Drosophila melanogaster: one gene and its partners. The protein of the gene in region 3 interacts with the protein of the main gene of each other region in a pairwise test. Each region holds a gene or a part of one and is shown on either strand. Other genes may lie near its edges.

The links. Proteins that work in one complex are often made in the same cells at the same time.
Region 1: the proteins of CanA1 (region 3) and Eip63F-1 interact in a two-hybrid assay, tested with the Drosophila melanogaster proteins (one large-scale study listed by BioGRID).
Region 2: the proteins of CanA1 (region 3) and l(1)G0004 interact in a two-hybrid assay, tested with the Drosophila melanogaster proteins (one large-scale study listed by BioGRID).

The regions. Positions count from the first base shown.
Region 1 is NT_037436.4:3,929,084-3,936,898, forward strand, and holds the start of Eip63F-1 (Ecdysone-induced protein 63F 1), read right to left. Parts: upstream 4,555-7,815; 5' UTR 4,200-4,554; coding exon 4,164-4,199; intron 1,914-4,163; coding exon 1,875-1,913; intron 1,770-1,874; coding exon 1,730-1,769; intron 81-1,729; exon of another isoform or gene 1-80.
Region 2 is NC_004354.4:20,387,739-20,394,455, forward strand, and holds l(1)G0004 (lethal (1) G0004), read left to right. Parts: upstream 1-3,708; 5' UTR 3,709-3,797; coding exon 3,798-4,520; 3' UTR 4,521-4,663; downstream 4,664-6,717. Other genes in the region: jb (jean-baptiste), read right to left, coding at 2,452-2,452, 2,517-2,645, 2,702-3,030; Syx16 (syntaxin 16), read right to left, coding at 4,710-5,553, 5,616-5,749, 5,824-5,904.
Region 3 is NT_033777.3:31,035,938-31,046,820, reverse strand, and holds the start of CanA1 (calcineurin A1), read right to left. Parts: upstream 7,448-10,883; 5' UTR 7,273-7,447; exon of another isoform or gene 6,837-7,272; 5' UTR 6,683-6,836; coding exon 6,511-6,682; intron 5,278-6,510; coding exon 4,946-5,277; intron 4,858-4,945; coding exon 4,746-4,857; intron 4,544-4,745; coding exon 4,398-4,543; intron 4,341-4,397; coding exon 4,123-4,340; intron 4,063-4,122; coding exon 3,969-4,062; intron 3,705-3,968; coding exon 3,579-3,704; intron 3,433-3,578; coding exon 3,351-3,432; intron 3,104-3,350; coding exon 3,026-3,103; intron 2,767-3,025; coding exon 2,682-2,766; intron 2,617-2,681; coding exon 2,519-2,616; intron 2,431-2,518; coding exon of another isoform or gene 2,275-2,430; intron 2,218-2,274; coding exon of another isoform or gene 2,041-2,217; intron 1,981-2,040; coding exon of another isoform or gene 1,831-1,980; intron 1,776-1,830; coding exon of another isoform or gene 1,716-1,775; intron 1,527-1,715; exon of another isoform or gene 1,260-1,526; intron 756-1,259; coding exon 430-755; 3' UTR 1-429. Other genes in the region: CG33920 (uncharacterized protein), read left to right, coding at 1,716-1,775, 1,831-1,980, 2,041-2,217, 2,275-2,430; CG33773 (uncharacterized protein), read right to left, coding at 10,719-10,874. UniProt on the Drosophila melanogaster protein: Calcium-dependent, calmodulin-stimulated protein phosphatase which plays an essential role in the transduction of intracellular Ca(2+)-mediated signals. Many of the substrates contain a PxIxIT motif and/or a LxVP motif.

The sequences.
Region 1 (7,815 bases), on a different chromosome or scaffold from region 3:
GTTTGGCGCACAAGTGCGGCACTATCGGGCGGCCAATCGATCAGTTTATCAGTCAATCAAGCGGGCAATCAATCAATCAATCACGGCTACAGAGAGACACTCGAGGGGCACTTCCGACCGCTACATAAGCTGGCGATACTCTGCGAGGGCGCGAAAAATAACAATGCTGCAGGAATGCCGCGTTACCGAACGATTTATCTACGAAAACTCCCAAGATAATGGCCTGAAGTGAAACGAACTAACCAGAACCCAACCGACTTTTGCTATATTGTATTATATTTCATTTGGGTGATAGCACCCGCCGCTCCCCGCAGATAACCGAGCGACTTATCAGCCGGATGGCAGTGCCCAAATCTGCTGGGTGGGTGGATTGTTCTATGGGCGATGGGTAAATGGGTATCTGGGTATCTGGGTATCTGGGATGGGTTGTCTGATTTCATTAAGTACTAGTCTATATGTCGTAATCGTATTTACTCTCACTCGGATTGCTTGCATTATCTTGATTTCAGTTCTCTGATTAACGGACACTCTGAGTGAGCCTTAGCCCCAAAAGTATCTGTGAGGTACTTGGGTAGTACTAGTAGCTCAACAGGTGTCACTTAGATAGTAGCATAGTTTAAAGTAGCTGCAATGCATCGATGAACATAATATAAAGCAATATCTTCTTTCTACAATATAAATACTGTCCGCTTTTCTCATAAAATGACTCATACTCCATATGATTCCCTGCTGCGTTTTCCACTTTAAGGCCAAATATTTGCCGGAGATCAACAGCTGAAGGCAATGTCAAATGAAAGTGCCTGGCGCCGATTTAAATATGACTTGTTTGGCTTGTCAGCCGGGGAAAAATGTGTCACTTGAATGGTGTGGGATCAGCATCTTATCTGATTCGTCTTTCGGTGGTAAACACTTTTGGCTGCAAAAATCGCAGAGCCAAAATTAAAAGCCTTATGGCAGGTATTTCGTTACTGCTCCACTTTATATATTTTGTTCACCGCATTGGAAACTTTATTTTCGCGTTAATTGGACACGTGATGCGGGGGTGTCAGCTATCTGCCGTCCTCTACACCCCCGTCTACTGCGATTCCATTCTTTGTGCTATCGTTCGTAAAAAAAAGAGGCGCGTTAATTAAATTTCAACTCGATTATGGCTATCGTGATTAGATTAAGCCGCATTTCTGCGGGCACGGAAATTCAAGATACAAAAATAGCCAAAGTGCTGTATACAACTGCGGATCCATCCATCTTGAGGTGCCACAGTGCACCTGTCCCAAGAATATCTAAAATTAGTGGTGCAACAATTAATGGGCTGACATGCAAAAGGCGGTCGGCAAATTTGGCTGGCTAAATTTACATGAACAACCACTAACCAAAAGTATAATCTGAAATCTGAAGTATTAAAGAAGCCTAATCATTTTTTTTTTCATTCATATCAAAACCCAACAAACATGAATACTTTTCCATGGCCGCAAGAAATATTTTTTGACACCCTGATAGTGTGCAAAACGAGATTGTGTATACGCAGCGTGGGCCCGGCCAAGAAATGGCAGAGCTAGCTGCTTATCTTAGCACACAAATTGGCTGTAATTATGAATAATCAAATACTAGATAGCCACGTATATTAACCCATATTTTGTTGAGTTTTTCGCAGAAGAACAGAGGTCACTGTTCGTCTTGTTTGTAAATAAACAATTTGTCTGTTGATTTGTGGTTTGATTTGGTTACTTACCTTTGATTTCCACCTCCGTAAATGGTTTCTTTTTGACAGACTGTGAAATGAAAAAGCAAAAAAAAAAAACGAAACGAAAGTGAAAATCAAATAAATACCGACCAGTCAAAATAAACCGATCGATCCGAAATAATTTCGTGTTTACCTTGGTGGCCCGTTTGCCCAGCAATGCTGTACCCAGCATCTGTAAAACAAAACATAAAGCAAATAAAACATTGAGTATACTAAGTAAAAGTCAATGAGCTAAGGGAAAATATTAGCAGAAGTGTAAACGAAAGTGTAGCATACTCTTCAGCTGCGGGGAAAATCAAAAAGGTATTTGCGGATGGGCTAAATGGATATTTTTACATTTAGCCAAAGGTTTTTTTATTTTTGACATTCTTGTTTATTACGTTGTTCTTGGTTTATTTTAGCACCCACTTGCACTTGTTGTTTTTCAATCTATTTTCACTCGAGGAATTCCGAGCATCTCAAGTTAGCGAAAAAGAAGTGCATATGCATTTAGTGGGCTCTTTAAGACCAATTCGATAGCATCAACCCCTCCATTTAGACCAAATCTGAGGAATCTTGGCAGGGGGCTGGCCAGAGTGTTCGTGCCTACCATTTATTTATTTCCCAATTTATTTCTAAATTACGTACTGAATGGCAAGCATTTCAACTATTTTTGATTAATTGCAAAAATGAACCAGCAAATGCGGTGAAAGTGTTTACGCAAATATATCCGAATATTCCAGTATTTCCATTTTCACAAACAATGCTGATTTCAAATTCATTTAAATTGTGTGCAGATGGGAGAAGTTGATTACACTTCAATTAAAGCATGACCTAATATATATTAATTGGTGTTGAATATAAACATTTGGTTAGTTAATTTAGACAATCTAAAGGTTGCATGAATCACGCATTGTTTTCCTACGGAATAGGCTTTTATTTCTGTTTGTAATCCTACATAAAGTTCATAAGTTTAGTGTGGATGATGTTCACATGGCCCACATGGCAACCATGTAAAACCTTGTCCGAGGTTAGTTACCTTAGCCAACTGCTGCTTTATGGGCTTAAAGCGAGATAATAAATGCAGAGGTGGCATTGCTCACGTGCCAAGAACCATACAATGTAAACAAATTAATAAATTTGCGCAGAATCGGCGTTATAAAGCTCGTTTAATGGCATTTTTCGTTGACACTTGTTCAGGAATTTCCGAAAATTTGTTATGCTCCACAAAGCTGTGCCAACATCATAAATTTGCGGCTTGTTTGTATAAATCTACGATATATGAAATAAACTTTGTGTCGTCAATTAGTGAATTCGAATAAACAAGTATCAAACGTTGGACCTCAAACAAAAGCGAGCATAGTGGGCTCACATCATATTAAAATATACAAGTATGAAAGGTAGGAAAAAAGTTAATAATCGCTAGTGTTTATATTGGCCAAGTAGATACACATACGTCTATAAACAATCACGTTTTTAATGCCTTCAAAAGCACTGAAGCGCATTTTGTACGCCAAAAATCCAGAACGGGCACATTAAGAAACCATTATGATGCCCCTCCGCAAAAGTCGATTTTCCAGATATATACATCTATATCTATACTCATATACCTATATGCCTTTTATGGACGCTCGTCTGTACTTTTTAATGATGTGTTTTGGCTACAAAGTTATGGGCTGCGACAGCGACGCATTTTATGACTTAGGAAAAAATGAATGCACTCTTGTGGAGCAACTTTATGTGAGTCGCGCACATACGCTTTCAAATTAATTATCGTCTGTTCAGATCTGAATAAAATATAGCCGACGGTTCCACTCGATTTGGGCAAGTTTGTTGAGCTCCTATTGGAAATATACTTTCCGAGAAACACTTTGGCCAGCATACAGAAATTTAATATTCGACAATTCAAAATAATATTATAAGTATGCATTTTTTCCATCTTAAAATAAAAGGTTTCCAAGAAACCCGCTACCATATAGCTCTTAAGCAATTAAGTGTCGTACTTCGTATATCATTTTGTTTAACATTAATTGCTAGCAGACAATAAACCTGTTGCAATATTTATTCGCGCTCTGCGTAATGGGTTAATCTAAATATTTGACAACTAACAAATACGATCTGCCAATTTAAATGTACCTTGGCGACCCTGACAGGCGAATGTAGTACCAATATTGTTATTAAAATTATTTATAGCCGGTAGGCGAGAGAGGGATTTAATATTTGCTCATCATAAACGAAATAAAAACAAATTGTGTATACAACGAAGGCAGCTTTAGTGTCTGCCAGACGGAGAATGAAATTTGTTGCCACCATTGAAAAGCGATTAGGTAAATATTTATGCAAATGCAAGCAGGTTTTGGGCTAAAGACTCAAGATCATCTGGGAATTAGGGCTCATGAAGATCGGGTTATCCTATCGATAAGAAAATAAGCATAGTACTCACCTTTAGCTGTTGGCGCAGTCCGCTCATTGGGCTCATTCAAGAAGTGATAGCTTAGGTGGGGGAATGAATGCGGTGCCGGTGGCGTATGAGTAATATTTGGTTTCAAATCAACTTTGGCCCAGTTTCGGCTCTATTTGCCAGCACTTGAATGTGTATTAAATGTGTTAGCACTCTTGTCACTGGGCACAGTAAAATTATCCAGCAATAAAATGTGTTTACTTTGTATTTCGTATTTCCCCTCGTCGCCTGCGTATTTATATCTTAACTTTTAAGGGGATTATAATGATGTGTGTTCCTTTTTGTTTGCCTAATAATATAGCGCTTGAATTTATTTTAGCAGCGCGCGCGACTTTTTCAACGATCGTCTCGCCACGGAATCCCAAACAATATTGAGTATTCTACGGCGCTCCAACGATCAAAATGCTGCCAAAAAAAAGCGAAAGCCAAAAACAAGTTGGCGAGAGAAAAGTTGAGAGCGGTATTCCCGCTCTTGCCAGTTTTATTTTTTTTTTTTTGAACCAAAAATTTTGAAATCTCGCCTCGTTCTGGGATTGCCATTTGTTCATCTGCGTTTTTTTCTTTTTTTTTTTTTTTTTGATTTATTTTCATCGATTTCGATGCTCGTTCGCTCTTTGTCAACGGACGGCTACAGCCGGCATAAAATGTAGATCTTCTGGCGCGGCGATTTTTCAATGAGTGTATGCGTTTTTCTACAGAAAGAACTGTGCCATCAGAAGCGTATGAATAGAAAAAAAAAAACACTTGACCAAACACGTTTCCCCATATCTGTTTATCTGTTTATCAATGCGCCTAATGAGCAGGGCGAAGCGATCTCAAAAACATCCAATTCCGATGTCGCCTGCATTGGCTTAGATCAACACTTGAATGGCTATTACATAAACCGGGGCAAACGGCAAGTGTTATATTTAGTCGCGAGTCATTCAACCCGGCTGCACATGAGATGACAAGAAAGAAGTGCCAGTGCGTTCGTGTGCCCACATTGCGTATGAGCTATTTTTACCGATCGACAATCCGCCCCGTTGGCTGCACTCAAAAAGCGCTGGCAGACGGCGACGAAGCTGCGGAATCTTCGATAATTTTAATTAGGCAGCTGTCGCGGATCGCTCAGATTGTTCAGGTGAGCTGTCCAAAAGTGACACATTGCTCATACGCCGTGTGGGGTCAAAAAAAGCTGAAGCTTAAAGGTTAAAATAACACTCGAATTGAATTGAATTGCTGAGCACAGCTGCTCAAACATTCGTTAATCCTAAAGTTCACTCACAGTGCAAGCTAAATTTTAAAGATACATCGTCTCTATATATTGAAATATGTTTAATTTTAAGGAGATATAGTTGCTTTTAGAGAAGTTTTACTGTAGCCTCACGTTTCATTTGGTTTTTTATGTGTATTTAAAAATTGCACAACTGTTTCGAAGCTGTTACTGAACTCCTTATCGATCATTGGCATTATCAGTGGATGACTTTACCCCCCGATGACAGGGAACAAGAGCATCCAGGGATCGCCGTTTCCATCAAGATCGCTTCAGTTCGGATGGCTTCTAAGCAGAGACAACCGGAATTGGACTGTTTACGAGCTCATTATCAGCTCATAAACATGAAAGCGGCAGCCAGACACAGATATGTTATGAGTTATTTATTTATTGAAAGCATTTATTACTATTTCTCTAAAGGAAAATGGAAAAAGGAAAACGGGGTAATAAGCCTTTGGCCAAAACCGTGTGAACGGCTAGCAAGAGAATTATGGTGAGAAATCGGCGAGTTGCTCTTTATAGATTTCCAATGTAAATATTTACAATGTTTATTTTTAAACCATATATGTACAGATATAATATAGATGTTTGTAGTACATCGCGTATGCATGTTATGATCGTGCCAGATAAATATTATGAAACTTTGCTGGGAGCCCAGTGGCGGATCCCGTGATTTGCCCTGGACTTTAACGGGGTGTTAATGACTCTGGGAACGGCGTTTAGCAACTTAAGTTAGTTATCGGCGGAAGGCAAACAGAAATGTCGCACTTAACCGGGTCTTAATGACCCAGCCGTGATATCATCGATAGACAAACACACGACTGGCGGCCAAACGAAGCGTGAAAAGTGCCCAAGGTCGAGGGGCAAACGAAAAAGCGGAACTCTAACTGGGCAAAAAGCAGGTGCAGTGCCAAACGAAAGCCAAAACGGTTAGCGAAATCTACGTGCCTACAAATCCTGCGCACTTACAGCGAGCGGATTTTCACTGATATCCTCTGGGTCCGCAATCTTGGCCAATTCGGAACACACACACACACTAATGGATTTGCGATGGATTCGAATTCGAATCCCGAGAGATTGGGACACGCGACCAATGGGACTCTTTTTTTAGAACGGATGGTGCTGTGGCCGCCGCGCCGACACTTTTTGTACTGCGTTGTCTGCAGCGATCTGCGCCTGTGATCAGTCACATAAATATGTGTCCACTAACTAACGAGACGCGACCAAGCCCAAAACGATCATCGTTTGCGTACACTGCAAGGAATTTTCAGACGAAAATGATTTCAATATAACAATCCAACTACCTTTGGAGCATTGAAAATGAACATAAATATGTAGAGTGTATAATTCATGACAATATAATCTTTAAGTGGTTCTGCATAATATCATCGTGAAATTCCTCTAAGTGCATACATATTATAAACAAATGCTTAATAAGTAAATATCAAATTACGATATATTTGGTATATACTATTTAATAAAACCGATCCCATTTATTTATGAAAATATTAGTTCCAATATATAATTCATGTACGCCTTAGATCATTATTTCGCAATAAATCAGTTTTTTCTTTCAGTGTATGTCAAACAAATGTTGGGTCGTGGGTGTTGCCAACGGATTCAGCCGCTGTTATTGTTATTGTTGTTCGTGCCGCTGTTAATGGGCATGCGTGGGAAATTCTGGTACCGACAATACCCTAGAATATTTTCACTGTCTGATCGCACGTGTAACTTTAATTACCCAATTATTGACCCGCAAACACAGCGATTTTCCGCCGAAAAGCGTAGGAAAATTTCGAAAAACCAATGTTTTTTATTGGTTCCTTGCGAACTTTTTCGATCGAAATTGTGATTTATTTATAATGGCGAACATTTAAAATTAAATTCGTTTAAAAATAGCCCAAACGAATCGGTAAAATAAGCAGAAAAGTCGATTTATGACGGGATTCCTTCGCAGCCATGCCAGCCATTAGGGCCAATTTGTAAACGGCAACTAATTTGGCCCACAAATAAACAGCGAATAAAATAAAGGTGGGCCAAGTAAGCCAATGGGATTAATTGTGATTGCAAGGCTGATGTTGTAAGGCAATTAGATTGATTTTATTATTCGATTAGCTTAAAATTCGTATGGCCTACTAGTTACAAGAGTCAGAGTTGAAGTTGAAAATCGATTAGATATCGTTGTGCGCTATGCTCGTTACTCTAGTTTGTCTAAGGACTACATATCACATATCCGGATATTATCTGTATTCTAGTTAGATGCTAGTAAAAACCTACACGCTACTTAACAAAGAAAAATCAATTGGACGGGAAGCATAGTTCCCTCAAAAAGGTACTTCTAGTAGTAGATCCGTGTAAAATTGTGTCCTGTTGCGAGGAAGT
Region 2 (6,717 bases), on a different chromosome or scaffold from region 3:
TTGCAGACTTGGCCCGACCAAGCTTGTCTTACACCGAGTTCGAGGAACTAGCAACGTATTTACCCGCAATGAAGGTGGCAACAATGTGTTTTGGGTGCTGAAAGCCAGTTGCCTCTTTGAAAATCTGGACTGTCCAGTTCCCATGATCCGGCCCAAGACATGGAACGTTTTTCATTTCAACCTGAGAAGCCACAATGAACTACCCGCAAATGGGACGGTGAATATATAAATATGGTTATTCAGCTAATGATGCCCGTGTTAGTGTCTGTCCATTATACCGCTGCAGGATGACACTGTTTTTGTTCTGCACATCGCCTCAGTTTCTTTCGAGCCGCAAGGATTTGGACCAAAAGTGATAGGATTTGGCAAATAGTCGGGGCAGCATCACCTTGTGTCGCAGGACCTTATACTAATGGCCAGCAAAGTGGCAGCGGAAAGAAGGAGCCGCAATAGGCGACGCTTAAGCGGCTTATCCTGGCGAAACAAGGGTGCGACTGCGACTGCGACTCAGGCACGGAGTATTAAAAAGGTACAAACATATGTATGTATATATGACTTTTGCTGGCCAAATGTGCATACACTTAAGTCAAAGTCAAACTGCGGTCGTAGCCATCAATGCACATCTGCGTTTGACCAAATCAATGTCGAACAGACCGGCAGTATCGCGGCCTAATTGCGAAATATGTACTTCAGTTTGGGCGTAGCTGTTGTTGATTTACTTCCCGTGTGGCTGACGCAGGATACATGCTCGCCTTTGAGGTCCTGGCCCGAATCTAAGCTCAACTAATTATAACTTTGGTGCAATTCGTTCAAAACCTTTGAGGCCCTTGCGCGTGTATTCGCGTTTTCATCTCGCGCTCGTCGTCGTTTTCGGAGCTACCAAGGCTACCAAGGATCTCCGAGGTGGGCGGTGCGGCTGAAGTGGGCGTGGCGCAACTCGAGCGGCGAGCGCTTTTAGGCGATTTTGCTGGCAAAATCATGTGCAGCCAACGGCTTCGAGAGTCATTAAGCTTATTAAGTGGGCGAGCAGATAACCCAAATGAGTGCATGCCAAATGAAAGCCAACGCAATTTGCACTCATATCGCCCACGAATTCCTTGCACTGTTAAAAAAAGAAGGAACTGAGCTCAGCTGGTTGGCGGATATATGCAGTCCCAGTTTCAAATGCCTAAATGCCCAGATAAGTGTATCAACAATTTGGACACCGATCGAAATGAAAGGAGTAGGTAAATTCTGATGCTATACACAATTATTTTTTAAAACGTGCATCGTTAACTGACTCGAAAAGTTTCTGGTTAATCCACTTCTTACTATAACCATTTGTAAGTTTGTATCAAAATCAAGATTTTTACAAAGAAAATAAACACTTCAACGTACCAAGTTTTGAAATATTCAAACCACATCAGTGTGTTGAATAACCCCAAAACAAAAAAAAAAAAAATATTTAGATAATAGAAACTGGATCTCAATGGAGTCTGCAATATCCGAATAGATAGCAGATGCTAAGTATGTATGTTTTATATATATATAAATTGCATCTTCAATACTCCGTAGTTCTTAAGCAAGTTTTGTCCAGTGTACTTATTCAAATAGCTCATGCTCATGGAAAAGTTTCCCAAGAGGCCGGAAAAGGGTCAGGAGGTGGAAGAGAAGAAATACGAGAAAGGGCGTGGGGAACCGGAAACGGAGAAGATAACAAACAAATTGCCAGTGCAATTGCAAGCTTGAGATTATCGCCTGCCTGCGGTGGCCGCATTACTCGCTCTTAACTTTACTTAACTCCACTTTGGCTTACTTAACTTTGCTTCAAGTGCAGGCCAATAGGAGGCATTGCAATGGCCTTCTTATCGCTGCGGTTGATGCAAAAGTAAGTCCCATTGCATCCCCAGAAACTTTTAATGGCTGCGAGAGGAGCGCCGCCTACGCTGACCACCATTAATCTGAAAACCTAATACCCGCCTGCGGCTAAACTTCAATTTACCCGCTTACTCGATTGCCATCTTTCGATAACGATTGGCGAGCACAGGCCTAAAAGCTAGCTGCTATGCCACGCAGGACACTCATGGTTTCCTTTTTGACATTAAATTCACTTAATAATATTACCTTTTCGCATTCTAATGCCGTTCCCCAATTATAAACGAATTTATATTCACACAACACATACATATATGTATATTTATATATTAAAAAGTCACATATACATATGCACATACTCCACGTCGACCATCGACTATCGGATACCCATTACTAAGCTAAAGGTGTATGAGCTATGTATGTATACCTTTTTGCGTGCCTCTTTTGCGAAACTCTTTCAATTACCGACCTTAACTGGTAAAATAAAACGGCTCTTCTGAACTATTTTGTGATTTATTTTTATAGTGATTTATTTAATGGTTCGTTAATGTCCTGTATGGTTGAGAGACTCTGAGGAAGAGACATTGGTCATTAGTGTCTGAAAAGATATGTATGATTGAATATGTGTAGAATGAAGGTAATTCCTCGTGAGACTTGTTTACCAGCCCTGAGGACGCTCTAGCTTTAGTCGCTTAGCCAACGGATTCCCATCTGGATTTTGCTCTGAAACCGAAGTTAAATACCCAGTTGGGTCCTCCACGGGAAACGTTCGCTTCTTTACGTCCAGCATGCTAATGAAACTATGAACTTTATGTCAGGACTCTCACCACGAATTACTTCAACTCACAGCAAATTGCTGCTGAACAACAGCTCATTTAGGCGCTCGTGCTCTTCGCGCGAAGGACTTCTGTTAGGCTGCTCCATGTCCAAGATCGAGTCCATTCCTGCCAGCATTGCGATCACGCTAGCTTGCAAGTTGCCATCATTGACAGATGCCGTCTGGGCAGACTTATTCACTGTATTGGATGGCAAACCCTTAGTCATCGTAGACTGATTGCCCATCCACTGATTGAATCCACGCGTAAACTGAGGCTGCAATTCTTCCGGAATATTCCGGAGGAAATAGGAATGGGATTCGTTGTTCGGATTTGGCATCTTGAAGTTCCGTTGTGACATGGAAATGGTTTCTCCGGTACGGGTTCTAGATGTGAACTGAATTCAATAGGGACCAAAGCAAACCAAATGTCAAAAATAGGCTACCTTTTGATTGATTGAAAATGAAAGGGTTGCATTTAATAATTATGCAAAAATGATTTATATTTAATTATATTATATATATTATAAAATTATTATGATATATTTAAATTATATTTATCCCACTCGTCTGTAGCTGATTAACAGTTATCTGAATATGATTCCAAAATTAAGATTAAGTATATATGTACATATATACTGTTATTATATATTAACAGTATATATATAACAGTATATATATACATATATATGGGCCTAACAGAAACCATTATTCCTTTCGGTACCCTTTGCCATCTTTTGAGAATTTACATTGTGTTGTTCTATATGACAGTGACGTCACCTTATAGCTTTAGGCTGTACTTGAATTATTACTTTTGAAACAGCAATAATTCAATGAGTGATCAAATATGAATTCGCACTTCAATCAGCCTTCAAATCCAATGATGTTTCTTATCAAGAATTCAGGCGTATTATATTTCGGAATTCTACATTCTACATACTTTTTAGCCAGTGTAGAATTGTACATACGCATTGGTATTTTCGTCGAAATTCAGTGGTGTGGTATTCAGCTACAGATGTATTTGAAATCTCAGATTCGAGCGCGGTCACACTGAGCACGTGGAGCAGACAAAGCAGCTGGATTGAGAAATTATTGGAAACAACGCAGTAAAAGCACAACAGATTGCACCATGGAGGCAGAGAACATCAGAGCAGACGCATTCGAGCCGGCGAAGAGAGCGACGAAGCGCGGAGCCAGCGGAGGCGGGCAGCAGGACGTGGAGATGCAGGTGGACGAGGCGACCGGCATTGAGGGCCAGGTGCTGGGATCTTCGCGAGCATCGGCGCCGCCCAAGGCAAAGCGGGCCAGAAGCGAGCTGCGCAAGGTATCCGTGCCGCCACACAGGTACTCCTCGCTCAAGGAGCACTGGATGAAGATCTTTACGCCCGTGGTGGAGCACATGAAGCTGCAGATCCGCTTCAACATGAAGGCGCGCCAGGTGGAGCTGCGTGTGGGCCCCGAGACGCCGGACATAGCCAACCTGCAGCGCGGCGCCGACTTCGTGCGCGCCTTTCTCTGCGGCTTCGAGGTGGACGACGCCCTGGCCCTGCTGCGTCTGGAGGACCTGTTCGTCGAGTCGTTCGAAATCAAGGACGTGAAGACGCTGCGCGGCGACCACCAGTCTCGCGCCATCGGCCGCCTCGCCGGCAAGGGCGGCCGCACCAAATTCACCATCGAGAACGTGACCAAGACCCGCATCGTGCTAGCCGATAGCAAGATCCACATCCTGGGCAGCTACCAGAACATTCAGCTTGCGCGCCGGGCCGTCTGCAACCTAATCCTCGGCTCGCCGCCCAGCAAGGTGTATGGCAACCTGCGGGCAGTCGCCTCGCGCCTCTCGGAGCGCATGTGATTGGGAGAGCGGACTGGAGTGGACTGGACTGGAGTGGAGTTCGACTTGAGAGGGAGTAGTTGCGGTTTTTTTTTTAGCATTAGCAATAAATAATAAATATAATAACATGTATTCAAACATTTACAATATACACAAACACACACAGCGAATGACGGGAATGAGGTCGGCCCACTGGAGGCGCGTGGGCAACTAGAGCTTGGTCAGGATGAGCAGCAGCAGCATGAAGAATGTGACCGCCGCCAGGACGAGAATGACGCACATCTTGCGGTTCTTGCGCTGATACATTTCCGCCTTGTGCAGCTGGCGCAATCCCTCCGAGACGCGCGTCTGCGTCTGCTCCACGTTGTAGTCGATGCGGTCGAGCACAGTGCCCTGCTCCTGGACCATGTGGCCCAGGTCCTTGAAGATGTCGTTCAGGTCGTAGATGGACTTGACTATCTTGGTCACCTCCTGCTCGCGGTGCTGCGCCACCCGCGTGTTCTCCTCCTCGAAGAGCAGCAGCTGCTGTTGGGTCATCCGGCTGGCCGGCGGCCTTTGGAAGTGATCGTCGATGGCCTGCTCGTCGTCCTCGAACAGATAGCCGTTGCCGGACTTGCCCTCCGCCGGCGGCTGCAGAAAGTTGTCGAAGGAGTCGACGAAGTTCTCGGCGCTCTGCTCGCCCAGCTCCACGTTTGTGAAGACGTCTCCAGCGCCAGCGCCGCCGCCGTCGTCGAAGTACTTCTGCGAGCGCTCCTCGCGGGAGTTCAGCTGAAGCAGGTAGGCATTCTGGCTGGCACGGAACTTCACCGTCAGCTCCTGCAGCTGGAGCAGGGCGCAGTGTACCGCGTTGACCGTCAGGCACTGCTCCATCTTGCTGCCCACGCCGATGCTGCTGCGCACGCACTGGATGTGCCGGTGCGTGGAGGTGATCAGCTTGGAGACGATTTGGCTGAGCACCTCGATGTCGCACTCGTCGTCCCGCTGATCATCGAAGGCGGGTCGCAGGAGGTGGCGTGCGTGCAGGGAGCCCAGTTCATCCAGCTTAGGCTTGATCCTGCAAACGAGTGATGGGAGTGAAGTTGAACCCTGCGCATGGACTACTGTTTGTTTACCCACTTAGACATGGTGTACTGCGCCTCCTCGAACTTGTCCAGCCAGGCGGGCGGCGTGCCGTAGTCGTCCTGCAGCTCCAGTCCCTCCTCCGCCTCGCGCACCGAGTGCTTTAGAAGGCGCTCCGCATCGCTGCCCCTCTGGAAGACGGAGAAACGCAAAACATATGTTAGTTGATGATAACAGTGAAGACCCCAGACGGAGACGCACTCACCCGATCGTCGTAGTGATTCCGGTTCTTGGACGCATTGTTGCGCATGATGACGAACACCTCCGTCAGGTTGCGCGACGTCATCCTGGCCGTCTGCTCCCGATTTCTTGGGGATTGGAAGGATTGATCCAAGTCCGCTGAAAACTCAATCAGATTTTTTCCAGTTTCGTTTTGACACAGCAGCGCAGTGTGCCCGCTGACTTGCTCGCCCAGAATACCGATAGTCGCCACGACGAACTGGTCACCCTGGCCTGAACGCACCGTTACATGTCCGAGAATTATACTTATTTTAAATATTATTTTCTTATTATCTGTAGAATCTGTACTTTATATGTATACTCCTAAACATCCTATTTGCGAAAGTGATTTTTTCAATATACGGATTGGATAGCTCCAATAGAAATATTCGGAAATTACAGAATATAGTATTGCTTTGTTGAGTTTCAACAATTTATAAAGTTAATTCTGTACACACCGTCACGTAAATTGAAATGCAATACTTTTAGCAATAAAACGACCGTAATAGTACAATAAAAGTATTCAATAATTTGTTATGTGCGTTCTCTTTTTTTGCGTTACGAAAGAGTAATATAACCGAATGATATTGTAAATGATTTTAGAATCAAGTACATTTTAGGCTAATGTTTAAAAATTACAAATTTACAGAATTTTAGGGAACTCATTATGAGTTTGGCTTAACGTTTTCTAATAGCCAGCTTCCACTGTACTGGGTTTTAATCCGTGACACAAGCCTGTGACTTAAGAACACTGAAGAGCTATCGAAAGGCAAAACATATCGATGGCTCGACCCCCTGATATCGATTACTTGATAGCTCAGTCAGTTTGCACCTCCCCCTGATATCGATTGCCATCAAACAATTTTATTTCATTTTAAAA
Region 3 (10,883 bases):
TTTAGCTATTTGTAGCCACCTTTTATTAAACTGTTTTTCATGTCACTTATAAATTTTTGCTAATATCGCCCGGGAGTTTTTGCGGAGAGATTCTATAAGTATGCACCTGCAATCGAAAGCTCAGCAATCGCAGGGTGCAATTTGTTGGTTTATGACTAGCATTAGAGAAAGTTGTTGTATAAAATTTTAACTACAGCTAAGGTCAGGCACTGAAATAAATTGGCGCAAGCTAGTGTCCTAGTATCATGTTTATCTATCTCATATGAGAAGTTATCAGAACTTTGTGTCGAAATTAGAATGTGGCAACAGTTTGCGTTAATTTATGGCCACGTCTGACCTTACCCTAACGAGGTGTAAACTTAAATGGGTAACAGAAGGTCGAAACGAAAATGATAGAAATCAGTGTTGAGCAGGCAAGTGCTTCACCCCCTATGGGAACTTCTTGGCGGTGAATCCTGCCCGCACATTACTGGTGGTGGCCGATTTCACAGTCGTCCTGCTCGTTTTGGTTACGGTTGCGGTATCATTACTGCTGGTGTTGCTGATGTCCTTTGTCGTCGTGGTGCTGCTGGTGTTGCTGTTATTGTTGTTGTTGTTGCTGCTGCTGCTGCTGCTCCTTGTGACCGTGGTGATGCTGCTGCTGCTGGCACTCATCAAAAGAGGACGACGGGGCGGCATCCGTTCGTTGACCGCATCCAGGCCCTTGGCCTCCGCAAAGGAGTGGATGTGCGAGGATGCGGTCAGTCCTTGCAGAGCTGAGGGTTCATAGAGTCGGACGGGGATGGGAAACAGCTCAATTAATAATCGGCGTGGCAGTGTCTTGGCAAAAAGTTTCGATTAAACTAATCAGGAAGGTTTATTACTTAGTTATCTAGTAACAAGACAGCATGCTATAGCCGACTACCCCGATTATATGCCATGTTGTGGACGGGTTATATTCGGTTTTTAGATTATGCTTAATCTCAACCTTCCTTTATAGTTCCTGAGATATTAACGTTCATACGGACGGACGGACATACGGACAGGGTCAGATCGACTCGGCTATTGATCCTGATCAAGAATTTATATTATCTCCTGCCAGAGAAACACTTTCACTCTATGAGTAACGGGTATAAAAACGATGGCTGGTCTGCGATCAGCACTGTTTAATTGGCCGCGATAGGCAAATAATTAAACCATATTCAAGCAAACATCTAGATTAAAACTCGCTACAAATCGAATTGTAATGGCTTTTAACTAGTCTTCCTTTTAGATTTAATCGAGCCATTCTTTTCAAGCGCTACAACGGCTATAAGCCATTCATGTTCAATGTCACAGTGGATGCCTGCAGGTGTGAGTAGGTCCTAACACTTTGTGTTGGCTAACTCGAAATTGATCGATTCTAGCACGATTTGATTGTGGAGAAACTGGAAATTGGCTTTGTAAACCATTAAGGAACAAAGGAGTTGCCCTTTTCCGAAGGAGCCTACCAACTGGTAACCCACTGGATTGCCTACGACATCGACTGAGTTGTGGTGAAAGTATTTTAGTAGACACTAAAAACTATTTTTTTTGATAACAAAAACTATACTAAACTCATTATAATGTGGGTTCATTATGATTTTCTGGCTTGGTGGAGCTATTAATTGCTTTGTAAATTGTTTTTATGTTGCTGATTCAATAGAATATTAATAGGGTTCTGTAAACAACTTACACTGGTTAGTCGATATCGAAAGATGGGTGTAAATCATTGTGGTTTAGTGGCGCTTTTGGCTCTTTCAATTTCAATAGTTGAGGTAAGAGTTATTAAAATATTAGGTATAATACGAATCAATTCAAAATCTTCCTCAGATATCATCGAAATTTGAGTTCACAAATATCATGTGCAATTCTTTGGATAAACAGTTTTCCGACTTTGAGTATTGCTACATAAAGTCGGTTAATCGTAGCTACAAGTATGTGTCGATCAAAGCAAAATTATTTAAAACGCCAATTACCAAAGTCAAGGTATTTAAATAATTTGGTTAACAACATTTTCTCTTCTACAATTACTCTTCTCAGATCAACGGAGTAATTCTCAAACGATTTAATGGATATAATGGCTATAGACCTTTCATGTTCAATATCACATTGGATGCATGTAGATTCATGAACAACACAAAGTCGAACCCGATAGCCAGTTACCTTTATGATTTCATTAGGCCCTTCACCAACATGAATCACAACTGCCCCTACGATGTGCGTATATCCCTAATTAAATCCGATCTGTGCTTATGTTTCTGGTTTTCTATACAGCACGATCTCGTGATCGAAAAACTACCCATACACTTCGTTAATCACCAGGTGACAAAGGTCCTTCCCGTTCCTGAAGGGGATTACCTATACGAAACAAATTGGATGGCCTACGACATAAGGAGGGCTGTGGTCAAAGTGTACGGAACTATATCCTGATTAATTTATAAGGCATATGTTATAATTCAAAGTCCCTACACGCATTACATCAATTTGATCCTGAGAATACCTATGTGTGTTGACTTACCCTCCTTGAGGGAATCCCTTCCGCCGGACAAAGCGCCCACTGGCAGGGCGCCCGTGGGCGTCAGACCCTTCAGCTGGAGCACGCTCTCGGATTCCTCCCTGCGGGATGTGGGAATATTGAATTATTTAGCTGAATCCACGGGATTATAGGAGGCATTATGCACCTGAGGATGGAGAAGACGCGCGACATCTTGCCAATGGCCCGAATCTTATTCCGAATTATCTCTTTGCGCAGCGCCGACATGGAAGCTGCGAATTGAGGGCTCGATTAGACGGAATCTCGCGGGGTCACGGGGTAAATGTAATGGTAATCAGCTGGAAAACTCGCTGAAAAGCCGATCAAAGCAGGGCGCAAGGCAATAACTAAGCTTTTCGCTATCTTCGCTCAGGCGATTTTCGTTGGCTCAGGCATTTTTATTTTTGGCAGTGGGAGTGGCAATGGCAGTGGCATTTGCATTGGCGGTACTGTTTGGCTTCACTTTGGGCCTGCGTTTAATACCTGGCTTACCTGGCTTACTGGGCGTATTATTGTTATTGTTATTATTGCTCGCGTTCGCCGGCACGAGCACAATTTTCTTGCGTAGCTCTTTTGGTCGTGTTTTGGACGTGTTTTGAGTGGAAAGTTGGTGGTGGTGTTGGTACAGAAATTATTATGGGTGTTGGTAGTAGATTGCAGTTGTCGTATTTCGATATTTGGTTTCGGAAAATATTTTTAATAGAAGATTAGTTTGTAATTCACGTGTATCCGTATTGGCCCCACAACATCCAAAGCACTGCGACATTGACACACAGTCTAGTACGGACAGAATCGCTCTGTGGATCCCCAAACTTACCTTCCTCGAGCTCGTCATCGGGTCCGGCCACCAGTTCATCGTCTGAGCAAATGTTCAGGATGTTGACTAGCATCTCGGTTACCTTTGAATGGCATGGTAAATTGGATATTAAAATCACGTATAAAGATTTCAGACACTTTTGAAAGTTCTAGTTCGAGTATTATGGCTTAGTTCCATCACTGAACTCAAAATACATAGATAATCCCACCCGATTGGGTGCGAACCCACCTTTTCGCCCACGAAGGGCAGCGACCATGTGAAGACGTCCATGAAGTTGGGTAGCCAGTAGGGATGTGGCGAGCAGTTGAACTGGCGGATATTCATCACGTTGTTCTCGTACTTGAGCACAGCTGCCTTTTGTCAAATGGGTTCGATGGTTGACAAAATCAGCGCGAGCGGAGAAAGAGACGGGGCGAGTGCCGGAGAAAGAGATGGAAGAGAGGGTATTGCGAACGCAGCGCGATTTAAACTCGCACCAGCTCGCAATGCAGCCAAAAAAAGATTTCGTTATTTAAAAATAGCAAAGTCAGGAACAACAACAGCAAGATAAATAAACAACCCAGAAAGAGATAGGGTGAGCAGGGTGAGCAGAGGGAGAGAGGTGGAACTATCTCATACCTTGTTATTGTAAACATCCAGATAATTGGGGGCGGAGAATATGGTGATCAGCGAGGGGAAGCCCGTAACCTGGTTCTTCCGATACATGCGATACCTGAAGCGGAAGGAGTTCGATAATCATATGGATATTACACCATGGTACTTCCGATCCTACCCCGCATCCTGCGCCTCGTGCGCCCTGACTATCGACAGCAGGTTGTTCTTCTGCAGAAACTCACAGCAGGCCGAGTAGCTGAAGAAGTAGGAGCACCCGCGCACCGAGTTGTGCGAGAAGAACTCGTTGGTCTTCTCGTTGCCAAAGTCCTCCAGAGGATCGGACCAGAGCAGGTCGCACATGGGCCCGTAGGCCGGTGGTTCCCTGAAGCGATTCAGCTGAGAAAATCCGCACAGATGCATTATATTGTAAACATTTCAGCGCTGCTTTATTACCGTCTTGATGTCGTCGAGTGTGAAAATCTCGGGCGACAGACCGCCGTGAATACAGAGGAACTGCTGGTTGAGGAGGGCGGCGAGGGGCAGGCAGTCGAACGCTTCCATGCAGGCGTCGTAAATACTTTCCGAATACTTGATGATGCCTTCAACAGAGAAAAATTAATGAATTAGCGACGGAAGGAGATTTATAGCATGCATATTCGCACTTAAAAGCGCATTAAGTTCGTAAAGTGACTGAGGCATGCAGGTTTGCTCATTTTGTAGTTTATCTATATCAACGGGAAACAAATCAACTTTCTCATAACTAGCAAATTCTGGCATTAACTTCAGTTAAGTCCAACTTACATTCCTGCTTGAAGGTAAAGTACTCTGTGAGATGCCTGCACTCGTGATTTCCTCGCAGCAGGGAAAGCGTGGTGGGGTAGGTTATTTTCAGGGACCACAGGTAGAGAACGCACTGAAATTAAGTGGACCGTTTAATACAAAAATGGAAAACGCAGTATATATTCCTGATAAGTTAAGATACAATTTTCATATGGACCCACCTCAATACTGAAGTATCCCCTGTCCACGTAGTCGCCTAGAAAAAGGTACCTAGTGGTGGCCGGCGGGCCGCCCACTTCGAAGAGCTTTACGAGATCGAAGAACTGCCCGTGGATGTCACCGCACACGGTAATGGGTGCCTCCACGTCGATCATGTTCTTCTCCTCGCGCAGCAGGGCGGCTCCTTCGGTGATGATCCTCAGGGCCACCGCCTCCTCGATCCGCCCCTCCAGCAGAAAGTGCTGGCGCAGGGCGTCGAAGTTGGGTTTTCCGGTCTTCGGATCGTCGTATACCTCCGACATGGTCAGCTTGTGGGTGGGCGGAAGTGGAACATCTAGGGGAGTAACAAAGAAATTAATCAAATTATTAAGTAAAGATTATTAAGTAAATTGTTATCACCCATTTCCAGAAGAAGAAGCCCCTGGATTCAATTGTTAATTATATATTGTATCTTGTATCTTATATGACGTGAATGGAACATCTCTTTGAAAATGGGGTTTCTCGTATTGTTACAGTTCCCCTGAATTTTTTTCGGTGTAGTCTTGCATTGATAGAATTATAATAAACATCGCTGTCCGACGGCGATGTGGGTTAACGAGGTGCTGCAACTTAGCGCCAATATTCATTCGGTTTGGCCGCTTTTCTTGGCCCGGCTATAAAGAAAACCGAAATTCCGCCAGATGCAGCCACATGAGATTCGTACGCTAATTACAAAATTTGACTGAGTGAATATAAAAGTCGAAAATTGATTGGCACACACAAAACAAACAAACGTAATCGAACACACACACACATCGAAACGTCAGGGCGAACGCCATTTTTAATTGTCATAATTTGGGTAAATGTCTTGAATTTTGACGCAATGGCCAATAAAATGCCAATGTACTGCAGTTGTTGCTTGTTATGGGTGCTCGAAGATAATTAAATTAATTTTTATGGACTCAATAAACCAAAGAACAAAAGCGAGTACCGCATTTTCAGTTAAGGGTTTTAAGTTACGATGCCGAATAATTGATTAATAAAAGCACATTTATGGCAGTTGCATCGGAATATATGGGTTATTAAAAATCTGTAAATTATTTATGTATAAATAATGCGCATAATAAGCAATTATGCATTGTAAAATGGTCTGTAAAATAAATCGATTGAAACTTGCTCAAAGAACATTTTTTGAAATTAGATAAATTTACATGAGCTATAAAATGTTTTCCTTTCTATGTTTGTTTCCATTTCAAAAGTCCATTTATTAGTTTTTAAACATGAAAACTTAACGATCGATGTACTGCTCCTCGAGAAGGTGCAGCCATGCTATTGTTTTGAAAATTACAAGCATGACTTCCCAATTCTCAAAACACACTTTTCGAAACGCTTGCCTCCGCCGACTGAAATGTTCAAAGGAAATAATTTGTGAAACCCTCAGTTTTGACATTAATGACGGCGGTCAGCACATTGGAATGCCATTGAAGCATGATCGCATGTCATTAAAGATACAATCGCAGTAGGGAATCGTGCTTGGGATAATGCTTGATTGGGGTCCGTAGTGCTTATAGAGAGTAGAGATCATTACCATCGACCATGCGCTCCCTGGTTTTTGTGTACTGCATTTTCTGTTTGTTTCCACTGGCGGCTGTCGGAGATTTCGAGGAATTCGACGAGGACTTTGCCGATTTGTCTGAACTAGAACTTTTTGATAGCGATGATTTCCTCGTCACCGAACTTCGCGTGGAGGTCGCCGACATGATGCTTGATTATTTATTCGGCCCCTGCTTTTTGTTAAATTTTTTATTTTTTTTTATTAATTTTTCTGCGTTCTGTTGGTGCTGATTTTTGCGATGCCTTAGCTCGATATATATTTTTTAATGGCTTGACTGTTTGCTGGTGCTGAAAGTGTTACTAACACAGGAATTTAGATAATTATACGCCTTTGCCTAGCGTCTTTATGGACGACGAGACACCAACACAGAAGCGCACAAAACACACAAATATATTTAGGCAATAAATAAAACTTGTTGTTATAATTTGTATAGCTGTGGACTTTCTTGTATTTTTAGCCAGGCAATGCCAATATAGCGAGATAGAGACAACTTTCGCCCGCAGCGCACACGAAACAAATGTTGAACAATTAATATTTCAATTTGCTGCAATTATTCAGAGACGTATTAACTTTTCATTAAGTCATCACATTGTTTAACGGATGCTTTTGGCAAAGGGTAAGCAGCACTTCAATTGAGACGGAAAATTGCTCGACACTTTGTGCTAATTGCCCACAAAGCGAGCGACAACGAAAATAGCAATGGATTTGCGAAGAGACGGCCAGACAGGCACACACATATATCACTTTGGTCACACTTTGTTTGCAGTTCGCCGTTTGCCGCTTGCGATTATTGTTATTATTTTCGGGCTAATCCTTTGGGGATTCTCGGGGCCTTAGTCGCGATGATTTTCACGGGACACGACGCAACGCATTTCCCAAGTTGGCGCGACGCGATTTTCCTCGAAACTGAGCGAAATTCGCTGGCATCGTTTGGCATTCAGAAGACCCAATTTGAAAGCCCGAAGAAGATCGGCTGTGATCGGCCGATCTCACGCCCTTGACTCCCACTCTCCGCCGAAAATGAAAATATAAATAAGAATACACCACGCTCTCGTAGGGTTCCATCTATTTGTTTATTTTATTGGGTTAATGTCACACACGCACTCTGGTCTCTTCTTCGTATCACTGCCCTTCTGCGATCGTCGACTGGGCGACTGACTGCTCGACCTTCACAGACATTTACACATCTGTGATATGTCCACCCCCATCCCCATCTCTATCCTCATCCTCATTTCCACCTCCATGCCCCATTCCATGTCCACATCCGCTCTCAATGATTTTCAACTTGACCGTGATATTGATTGTGTGTGCGTGCGTCCGAGTGTGTGTGTTTGTGTGTGATTGAGCGCGAGTGTGTGTTTGCCAGAAATTGGGCGCCAATAGGTGGGTGTCGCTATAATTATAGTCTTGACTTTGTGCGCGCCTCGTGCAAAAATATATGCGATCTACAATTAAAAGGGGGTGTTTCGGTTCGGATAAGATTTATATTTGATTAAAAAAAAAAAATTAAAAAACATAAGAAATCAAAAGCTTTTATCTAACGATTTAAATTTAAATAAATACAGTTTTTTGGGTAGTACATTCAATATAGTATAGTAAGTTGATTTTTATATATATTTTGATAGCGCATTCGCGGTTCTGCTTTTCATTTGAATGCTTCGCTGGTGGAACCGATTTCATGCAACTTTTATGCGAAGCGTGGCAATATTTGCGCAACTATCTGTGTGGGGATGGGGATGGCCACATAAAAAACACAGCCACAAACAATATGTGTGTTTTGCCCCGTCAATGTTGTTTGTCGCGATGGTCAATTGATATGTAGTACGATTTGGCTGGGGAAGCGCTATATCGCTCGACAGACAGACAGTTCCATAATATATGCTGGGAAGGATGGATCGCCCGATTTCGGGCACTCGGAATCACATTCGGAATCTCCGAATCGGAATCCATTGCAATGCCAATGCACCCGCTGCCAGCCAAATGCGCATCGATGGCACTTGGATTTTCGATTTGGCAAAGAGCGGAGACGATTTTACTTGGACGCCCCCGCGTATTCGCAAGTCGCAGAGAGACAAAAGCGAGTCACACGACCGCCGCAGACTAGAAAGAAATACTTTCCGGTGCTAACCAGTGGGTGGGATTGGATTCGAGGGGGCTGTAAGTGCTCAGTAAGGGGTGCGGCGGGGTGCGATGGGCGGACCGATGAGAGCATTGCATTCCCAACGCGAAATTTTGGCAAAAGCGCTGACAGCTCAGCCCAGTCCAGCCCCCCATCCTTCTTGGGGTATCCAATGGCAATACGGGGTATTTAACTTTCGAAAGTGTCGCCGAGGAATAGAAGAGCTCAATAAGTGTCACTATATATTTTCAATCACTAATATGTTTCAAAAATATCATACGTTTGTGCTGGCATTTAAATAGGTATTTAAGTATGGTTTACTACTCTACTTTATTGTTTAAACACTGAGTGCGTGGAATAGTTGTTTGCAAATTAGAGTTATTGCAAATACATACGATTAAGTTAACCAACCATCGTACTGCTCTTCCCTTTACATCAAAACCTTGTGTTTCCGATCTGCGGCTATTTAAATAGCCCCAAAATGCCGTTGGCAGCGCATTTTAGGCGCAATTAGGAGGCGAGGCAACTGCGGTCAGCTGGCCGAGATTAAGTGGCCGACACCCGCAATTGATTCACCTCAAGATTATCTAAATTAGAGACTAGCCGATCGCCATGGCTAGAGCAAACGCTGGGGATTTGCTAAATAATTTGCCAGTCAAGTTGAGTCAAGTTGTTCGCATTTCAACAGATTTCGCGCCTGACACTTTGAACACCCGTTTCGTCATGTCGGCATGTCACTTAGTCTTCGGGCTGATATACATTTTCTGCGTTGGACATGGCCAAAATAGAAGTGCCAAAATAGCAATAGCCGCGCACTGGCCGAGTATTTATAAAACAATGTTTTTTATGCTCGCACGCAGAAAGCCAAACGGCGCTTCCTCTCTCTTTTTGCACATAAACAAAACGGCAGTGAAATAAAAAGATAATATTGACACGCAACGCAAACATTTCATTCATTGTTTCAACTTTTTCGGCAATCGCAATCGCAATTGTTGCTGTTGCTGTTGCTGTTTAGTTTCTGGCGCTGTATAAACAATTCATTTGAGTTATGTGACCACAGGCATGGGGTTATGTGTGAATGATGGCCGATTTGTGGGCTATTCGATGGCTGGCAGAAGGAAGCACCAAAGCAAACACTTCCTCCGGGCCAGCACTTAATTTAAATTAATTATTTGCATTGATTTCAAAGCAAATAAATTGGGGCGAATGTCCGTGTGGAAAGCTCAGCAGATTCAGAAACCCCGACGAAAAGCTCTTTTCTTCAAAACGAACGGCTCAGCTCGGAAAAATTGCTCCCACACTTTTCCGGGGGGAAAACTCCTTATGTCTGCGGCTGTCGTTTTACAAATTGATAAACTTTTCAGCTATCAGTGCTTATGTATCTTTCTGGTCCAAGCCTTCGTTCCCTCTTAACCTTTGACCCTTTCCCGAGCCCCTCTGCACCATTTCATTGTTTTCCCTTCTGAGTGCCAAACATTTGCCAGGCCGAAAGTTTTTTGCGCTCACATTTGTTTGCTTGGGATTTGGCAAAAAAAAAACCGGAGCCAAAAACTTCAAATATAAAAAGGCAGCAGAAATTTTATTGAATTGATTTATTGACTTACTTATTTGGGCGCTCAGCGCTCATAGATAAGCGCCGGGAAAACCTTTTCTCAATTTTCTTTGTTTTCCTGCTGTCAGTTGGCAGCAATAACAAGGGCCCAAAGTAAATATTTAGTTTTCATTTATACAATTTTCCCCCAGCCGCGGTCTTCGCCTCTTTGTTTGGGGCCAATTTTGTGTTTAACTTTATTGAGGGTTAATGCAAGTCCATAAAAATCTTGTTAATTGAAAAGTAACCAAGGGGATTTACTTTCGCTTGCATATTATGTTATTGATGACAGTAGCAACAATATAAGCTTAATGATCCACTAAATTCGCAATGACTTCAACTCTTATTTTTGCAATTGTGATAAACGATCGTAACTACAAAGCCAACACAATAACAAACAAGCTCGGCGATTTTTTCAAGTTCTCACTTAAAACATTCGATAAGTTATAATTCTGTACACATTTGACATTTTTATGAAATAGTAAAATAGACTTGAGTGCTTGCAAAAATAGATTTTCGGCGACTAAAGTGAAACTCAAACAGGTAATTGCCCTCGGGGAAGGGAAGAATTTCGGTTACTCGGAGATTCATAAAACCAATGGGCAGCCTTTCCACAATTAAGTCGCTCTAAATAGT